2 linked regions of the Ovis aries genome follow. The protein of the gene in region 1 interacts with the protein of each later gene in a pairwise test. Links are inferred from orthologs where the notes say so. Each region holds a gene or a part of one and is shown in the gene's direction. Other genes may lie near its edges.

What was found.
Region 2: the proteins of GADD45G (region 1) and AFAP1L1 interact in binary tests that used the Homo sapiens proteins (3 or more experiments, as listed by UniProt). The two-hybrid records come from large-scale screens. The link is inferred for Ovis aries from reciprocal best matches to the Homo sapiens genes GADD45G and AFAP1L1.

What each region holds. Positions count from the first base shown.
Region 1 is NC_056055.1:24,393,966-24,397,507, forward strand, and holds GADD45G (growth arrest and DNA damage-inducible protein GADD45 gamma), read left to right. Parts: upstream 1-1,225; 5' UTR 1,226-1,332; coding exon 1,333-1,385; intron 1,386-1,656; coding exon 1,657-1,758; intron 1,759-1,871; coding exon 1,872-2,085; intron 2,086-2,181; coding exon 2,182-2,292; 3' UTR 2,293-2,792; downstream 2,793-3,542. UniProt on the Homo sapiens protein: Involved in the regulation of growth and apoptosis. Mediates activation of stress-responsive MTK1/MEKK4 MAPKKK.
Region 2 is NC_056058.1:58,444,531-58,449,098, forward strand, and holds the start of AFAP1L1 (actin filament-associated protein 1-like 1), read left to right. Parts: upstream 1-1,474; 5' UTR 1,475-4,568. UniProt on the Homo sapiens protein: May be involved in podosome and invadosome formation.

The sequences.
Region 1 (3,542 bases):
GAGTCTCCTTTTGTCTTCATCTGGGTTTTGCAGTTTTTGACTTCCATTAATATGTAGCTTAGATGGGGCTCAGCTGACTCTACCTGGGCCCCTCCTTGATCAGAGGGCCAAAGGCCAAGTCCCCACAGTATGTCAATGGAAGTGCGGGGGAGAGGTGCTCAGGAACTTTCCCGTCGGCCTGTAGATGGCGCCCCGGGAAAGGGATTCCAAGCGTAGTTCCCAAAGTTCTTGGGGTCCCCACCCGGCTGCGAAGAAGGTGCAGCAGCCAGGTGTTCCTTCCAACTTCCACGGCTGCTCCGCACGTGCGCTAGAACCTTTTGGGGCGGAATTTCATGCAAACGTGTGGTGGGTGCAGCGGGGCCGGTGCAGGGGGCGCGCATTGAGGAGCGCAGGAGCCCCACGCGGCCGCGACCCACCACGCGCCGAGCAGCCCGGTGACCCCCACGCGCGGCGGGGCTCTCCCACCCCACCCAGCGGCAGGTGGACAGTGTCGCTATGAAGAGAAAGCTTCAATTGTCCCTCCTACAAACCGCCACACGCCAGACCTCTGCTATTGTGCACCCGGCATAGAAATGCAAACGAGCCGCGTGTTCCGGCCGCAATCTGCTTGCGCGCCCTGGCGCCCCGCAGCGCTTAGTAGCGGGCCGGGAGATTGGCTAGACTTTGCAGCGCGACCGGGTCCGGGTCTTGATTGTGCTAGAAGAACCTCGCGCTCGGGGCTCTGGTGTCAGCTGGAGAGGGCTGCTTTCAGGCCTTTAGCTAGCTTAGCCAGCGCAGCCTGTTTTTTAAGTTCCGGTTTAGAAGAAATGGTTTCAGAAACTCCAAATTAAAAGTGAAGAAAAAAATAGAAAAGGTAGCAAGAAAAATAAATGCAAAAAAAATATTCATTAGATTTCCCCAAAGGTGCATTTCACAAATTGCAGCGTACTGTTAACAAGTGAGGGTTTTTTCCCCCCGTAACTTTTTCCTTTTAAGGACTTAAAAAAAAAAGGCGAGATGAAATCTGCAGGCTCCAGTCTGCCTGGTAACACCCCGACAAAAGCGGCAGATTTGAGGCATTGTCATCCCCCGCACCCCTCCCCACGTGGCCTTCTGGCACGAGCCGCGGGCAGCCGCCTCATTTGCATCAGAAAGCGGGCGCGGGCCAATGGGCTCGCAGGCTCGCGCCAGCTGGCGGCGCCACCCGGCTCAGCCTATATAAGGGCGCAAGGCGGCGCTCCGGCTTACTCGCCGGCAGCGGGCTCACCAGGCTTGCTCGCAGACTTTCCTTCTTCGCTCGCGTCTGCTCCGCCCTCTGTTCTTGTGGATAACTTGCTGCTCGCAGATCGCAATATGACTCTGGAAGAAGTTCGTGGCCAGGACACGGTTCCAGAAAGCACAGCCAGGTAGGTCGGCGCCTAACTCCGGACGTCTCGGGGCGCGCGGGGACCCTCGTCCTGCCCTGGCCGCGCTGGTTGGGCGATAGTCTTTGGGGCCCGCCTGGGTGGAAACCGGCTGGGTTGGGAACCCGCTGGGTGGAAGCCGGGCGCGAGTGTGCCGGCTGGGCCGAAGGTGCGGCCGCCTGGGCTGGCGCGCCGGGCTGGGGCGCTGGGGGTGCGTCTCCGGGTCCAGGGATCTCAGGGCACCCTCCGGCTCACCGTGCTGGCTTGTCCACAGGATGCAGGGCGCCGGGAAAGCGTTGCACGAGCTGCTGTTGTCTGCGCAGCGCCAAGGCTGCCTCACGGCCGGCGTCTACGAGTCAGCCAAAGTCCTGAACGTGTGAGTATCAAACGCGGCCCGTGGGAGGAGCGGCAGGGAGACCGGGGAGACAGTGGCTGGGGGCGCCCCTGGCTCCTCGACCTGATCTCACCACCTCTTGCTCGCCCGCGTAGGGACCCCGACAATGTGACCTTCTGCGTGCTTGCCGCTGACGAGGAGGACGAGGGCGATATCGCGCTGCAGATCCACTTCACTTTGATCCAAGCGTTCTGCTGTGAGAACGACATAGACATCGTGCGCGTGGGCGACGTGCAGCGGCTGGCGGCGATCGTGGGTACCGGTGACGAGTCGGGGGCACCTGGAGACCTGCACTGTATCCTCATTTCGGTGAGTGTCGCCTCCGTGCCGATGTGATCCCTGCCCCCTCGCTCTCCCGTCAGCAGCCAGTGCCCAGCCAGGCTGACCTCTGCGTTCTCTCTGCAGAACCCCAATGAGGACGCATGGAAGGACCCCGCCTTGGAGAAGCTTAGCCTGTTCTGCGAGGAGAGCCGCAGCGTCAACGACTGGGTGCCCAATATTACCCTTCCCGAGTGACAGCCCCGTGGGGATCCTTGGTTTGATCGACGTGGTGACGCCCCGGGGCGCCTAGCGCGGGGCTGGCTCTGTGGATGCGCCCTCGGAGGGCGCCGGAGTGCGGCGTGGAGACTGGCAGGCGGGGGCGCGTGGAGAGCGGCGAGGAGGTGCGGTTCCCTCCCGAGGAGGGGCCCGGCGGCGACAGGGGCAGGCTGGCCCCAACCCAGGACTCTACAAGTGTGGGGAGCGGCTGCTCGCCCAGGAAGGCCGGAGGCGGGACCTTGGCCGCGCGGCCGGGAAGGACAGACTGGCCGGGCAGGCGTGACTCAGCAGCCTGTACTCCCGGCAGAAAGGAGGGGAAAGGCAAGTCCAGGCGGCTTGGACTTGTACGGTTACAGGAGCTCTGACGGACTTGAGCAGTATGCACTGCTGTTTTCAAAACGGATACGGGCGATGCTTCATTTTCTAAAGGATTATGCTGCTGCAGCTTTGAGTTTTACAATAAACTTAACTGAAACAAACGTACTCTCTTTATTGAGGGCAGGGTATCTTTGTCTGTGGGGGAGGTGGTCAGCGGGACTGCTGCTGATTTCTGAAATTTACGGAACTCCATGGCACCTGTTCCATCTTCCTGTTGGCGCTGAATGGCAGGCTCCTGGGGTGCTGGAAGTGGGGGAGGGGACGCTGGCTGGGTGTTAGGGCAGAACTTGAGCCCTGCTCCTATTTCTCTCCCTTCAGGAAAATTTTTAAACTTGCAAGACAGGAGCATACTTGGGATAAGACATCAGTGCAGCAGCTGGCCATCCAACCCGATAGCAGAGACCTTTCCCTCCCCTCCCCCTTCTTTCCTCTCCACCCCCTCCCTTCCAACAGCTGCTTATGGGAACAGCTTGCAGGATGCAGGCAGCTCCTTCCTGCACAATGAGCATTGCCTTCTGCAGGCACTGCCCTTTGTGGTCTCTGAGGATGGTGGCAGACTGCTGTCAGGAACCATTTCCCCTTAAAGGAATGGCACTTACGGCAATGTCACCAGGGTATTAATATCGCATATGACATGACTGCATTTAAGTGTGAGTCATCATTTTGTCATGACTGTGATAGATCTTAAGATCTGAGCAAAAATGGCAAGGGAGTGTCTGCACAAATAGGCGTAAGCAATTCTGAGTGGGGCCAGCATCTGCTATCTACTATTTTGAGTGTTCTCTGCCCACATCAGAGTTATGAGGACTGCTACTATTCACAGCAGCATTGAGAGACTTACAGAAGAAAAA
Region 2 (4,568 bases), on another chromosome or scaffold:
AGCACTTTACAAACTTCACTTAATCCTCTGGGTACTACTTTCATTCTCATTTTACAGATGAGGAAACTGAGCCCTAAATACATAATTCATTCAAGGTTTCACAGCTGTATGTCACAGAAGTCTAGAGCCCTTGGCACCACTCCCCAATTCTGCCTCTGAGATCTTTTGTGATTCCAGGCAAGCTTTCTTCCCCTTTTGGCTTCAGTCCTCATTGGACAAACAAAGGGACCAGCCTGGCTAAAGTCCTGGGCTCCTCTCAGCTCTAAAGTTCTTCTAGTTCCAAGGTTAAGAAATTCACTTTGCACTCTGCACCCTGGCATCAGCCTGCATGCTAGAGATGAAGAGGGGAAAGGCAGTGCACCCTTTCAAAAGAGAATTAGTCCCTGCTGCAGGGTTAAAAGATGGGCATCACCTTGGCCCCCAGGTAGAGGCACCCAGCTGGACAGACTCTCTAAGTCTTCATAGGCCACAGTTTTTCTCAGGGTTCCTGTATGCCACTTTTAAGCCCACAGGGGTATTTTAGTTGGCCCCTGCAATGTTTTAAAACAGTTGGACTTGTTTACCAATATTTTAAAATCAAAAGCTGAAATCTGGATTCCTGGATTTTCCTGAAAAGTCTGAAGAGCTGGCCACTCCAGGCCCATGTTCCCCTGGCCACACTGCACTGAGTTGCTGGCTCCTGGCATTCAGATGCAACAAGAGTGCTCTGCTTTTCCAGGCGGTCAGCTCATATACACACCTCCCCTGACTGGTCCTGAGGGTACTTCTGCCTGTGAGCCTCACTTAAGGAGCCAACGGTGCTCTTTTCCTGAAGGATCCTAGGGGTGGGGATGTGCAGCACTGGGGCATAAGAACAAACGCTCCTTTTCCTGCAGACACAACTGTGCTCTGGGCTCTGTGACAGCTGACACCGAACCTGTGGCCTGGGTGCAGGTAGGAACCTGGCGCCTTGGAACAAAAACCAGAAAGTGCAACGAAAGAAGAGGTTTTCATCCAGCCATGAAACTCTCCTTCCCCAGTAGCCACCACTCAGACCTCTATCTGCTTTCTGGGGCCCAGGGTGGACCAACAGCCATGTGTCATTTCCCTGGATAGGGGCTATAATGGTGACATTGTGCTGAGTGGAACAAGAGAGGTTTTCATCCAGCGACCAGCACTGGGCAGACACTCAAGCAAGGGGCTCTGGGGCTCACCCTGCACAAATGAGTTTGGGAGTGGGGCCCTGAGCCAATGAGAAGCCCCATGGATTGGGCTGCATGTCCACAGTGGCAGGCACTAGGAAGGGAAGCAGAGAGGCAATGCTCCCAGAACACGTCACTGCTATCTCATTTTCCTCTATGAATAAACAATCTCAGAGGATAAAGGAGATCACCCCCCAAGACACCTGCATTAATGGAAACCTCCTGAGTCCTAGAGCATTTATTCACTGACACCCAACATTCCAGACACTGCTAGGCTGTAGGGATCTAGCAACAAGTAAGACACAACACCCACTAGCATAGTGCTTGCAGTCTAGGGGGCCAAGAAGAGGTAAAGAGAGAAGTAGGAATTTAAACACTGATGACCCAATGGAAGAACTGAGAGTAACACAGTAACAGAGTCAGTTCGAGAATCCAAATCTGAACCCAACTGGTGGTTTTTCTTACTTTTCCCAGGGTCTCCTGAGATCACTACTCTGTGGAATGGCCAGCTGGAGCTTAGAGAGGAGCTTAGAGAGGAACGTACCCCAGATACTATAATGCGGAATCTGAACTCTGCACTGACAGCAAAGGAAAGCCATCAAATACTTTTAAGGGGGATCTGACTAGAACCATGGACTGGTCGCTTTGGTAGCCGTGATGGAAGCAGACCTGGGGCAAAGTGACAGATTAAAAGGCTAAAGTACGTTTCTCTCACTGGGACAAAGAACATTTAGCCTCTAAATTTTTCTTTCCTTGGGCTTCCCAGTTCCACCTGATAAGCTAAGAATGAGAATGGGGAGTATCAGTTGTTTTCACAAGACTAAGAGCATGTGGGAGCTGAAAGCTTTTTTCCTGGAATTGTTCAGTGGGACCAAATTTGATATCTTTTAACAGAGCTAGAACTCTTCACACAGACTTCTTTAGACAAGCACCAGGCAAACCTGGAAAACTTACTACAGCAAATATGAAACGGGAATATATGAGGCAGATCCTAAAAATCCTTTCCAGAGAATTGCATTCACACAGGGAAGGGGGAAGGGGAGGAGAAAACCAGGCAAAGGCACCCACAACCTCCATCCCCATTCCAGTACCGCCCACCCGATACCCTATAATCTGGCCAAGCCAAACTGCTTTGCAGACACATCCTGCCGTTTTCTATCTCTATGTCTTTGCTCTCCCTGTTTTCTCTGTAATGTTATCTCCTCATTACAGGCTCACCCAAGTGTCTATCGCCCACTATTGTCTCCACGATCAGTAAGAAATTCCTGCTTCATCTTACTGAATTCCAAGAGCGCTTTATATTTTCTCTGGTACTTATCACATAATAATTTTTAATTAAATTATTTTATACACATATATCTCCTCTACTAGATTGGAAACTCATAAAGGATGGGGATCATTTCTACTTAGCACTGAAAGTGAAGTCGCTCAGTCGTGTCCAATTCTTTGCGACCCCATGGACTATAGCCCACCAGGCTCCTCCGTCCATGGAATTTTCCAGGCAAGAGTACTGGAGTGGGTTGCCATTTTCTTCTCCTGGGGATCTTCCCGACCCAGGGATCGAACCTGGATCTCCCACATTGCAGGCAGATGCTTTACCATCTGAGCCACAGGGAAGTAGTTCTCCCAAAAGAAATTGACACAGAATGCAACAAATATTCCTAAGTAGACTAATCAAAAGTAGGGGTAGTTTTTAATGGTGTCTATGGGCCTATGTAAAGGAAAAGTACAGAAAAAATATGTAGTTATTCCTTGTTCTAAAGCCACCAACAGCCTTCTCACCCACTTCATTCAGTTCCCCAACAGCAACCAAGCTGTAGTCAATTTAGTCAACAGTGCCACCTAGTGGGCACTGTGGGTAATTATCAAACCGGAACCACTACATCTTCACAGCTACTTCTTTACTGTTAATCCTTAGGAAAACTGCACAATGTTTTCCCATTTTTACATTTTTCCTAGACTCCATTTTTACATCTTTCCTAGCCCACATTTCCCACTTTACATCTTTCCTAGCTCAGTTAATCTCATTCTATATACAATTTCATAGGTGCATATAAATTCCCTTTAGCTTTTATTTTCCTGTTCCAATTCTCTGATAAACTTCCAGAGTCTAAAAGTTTCTTAAAGCTTCTAAAAGTTCTAAGCCCTCCATCTGTTCCTGCAATAGTTGCATTTTATACATTTTAAAAATTTACTTCAAATGAAATATTGTTTTTTAAAGTAGTAAATGAGCTAGACTGGGAACTTAACTACAATTTATAGCCTTGTTTTCAAGTGTTTCAGAACTAAAACAGTGAACTTTTAGAAGTTAATTCACTTATAAATTGTTGGTTGTCTGCTTTAGAATTTAAACTGACCTTTTCAAACTGGAAAAGTGGGCAGGAACAAAGAGGAACTTGGAAAATAATAATGGCTCACATTTTTATAGCTATTTATGGTTTACAAAGTGGGTATGTACCATCATGTCATTTGCCCTCCCCGAAACCTTGCAAGGTCAGTATGAGTTTTCCCATAGCACAGATGAGCAAGCAAGCTTCATAGGCTTAAAGTTAAACATTTCTTAAGTAGCAGAGCAAGAGCTCAAACACAAGTTTTCAGGCTTCAATCCCATTGTTTTTCCACTACACCATATTTCCTCTGGGCTCACACCCACATATATTAAACAAACTACTGGTGCAATTTGGTGAAGCAAGGGCTAACTAATTTCAACTTGCCTATCAAAGCAATGGAGGAAATATTCCCAGTCCAGGAAAAGACAGGATGCTCTTTCCCAGGTCCTTCCTTGAGCCTTCGCACAAGATGGTCCCAATGCTAGAATGTTCTATGTAAAAGAGTGGCCTAGCCAAAACTTCAAACTGTGATCTGTCCTATCTTGGGGAGGAGAAGTGTTTAGAAGAAGAATTAAGCCTTGACTTCACTTTATAAAGGGTCTTAGACATTTCATATGTCTATAATCAGTTTGGACCTACTTTCACAGAGACACACTAATAGGATGAAAGACGGTGACATTCTTCAAACACCTTTAAACTTAAATCCCATTCCTGACCACACCACTGCTCGTGGTCATAGCAATATTTCTCTACATCCTGTAATTATTTAAGGAAGAGCACACTTAACATCGCATTGCACTTGTATGCCCAAAAAGGTGTTCATTTCCACAATTTTTAACACTCCATGTTGGCATTCTTCAAGATTCAGTACACTGGGAACCTCAAAAGTTTAATGTGTCCCAAGGCACTGCCCACCTTTTAGCAATCCTTTCTCTCCTTTTCCTAGGTGATTTTTAAAAGATCTTTATTATTTCACTCCTCTTTTACACCATTATTGGCATAGTGTCTGGTCCACTGTCTGGCTCTAGAAGGTGCCCAGGAAAGATATGTTTAATGA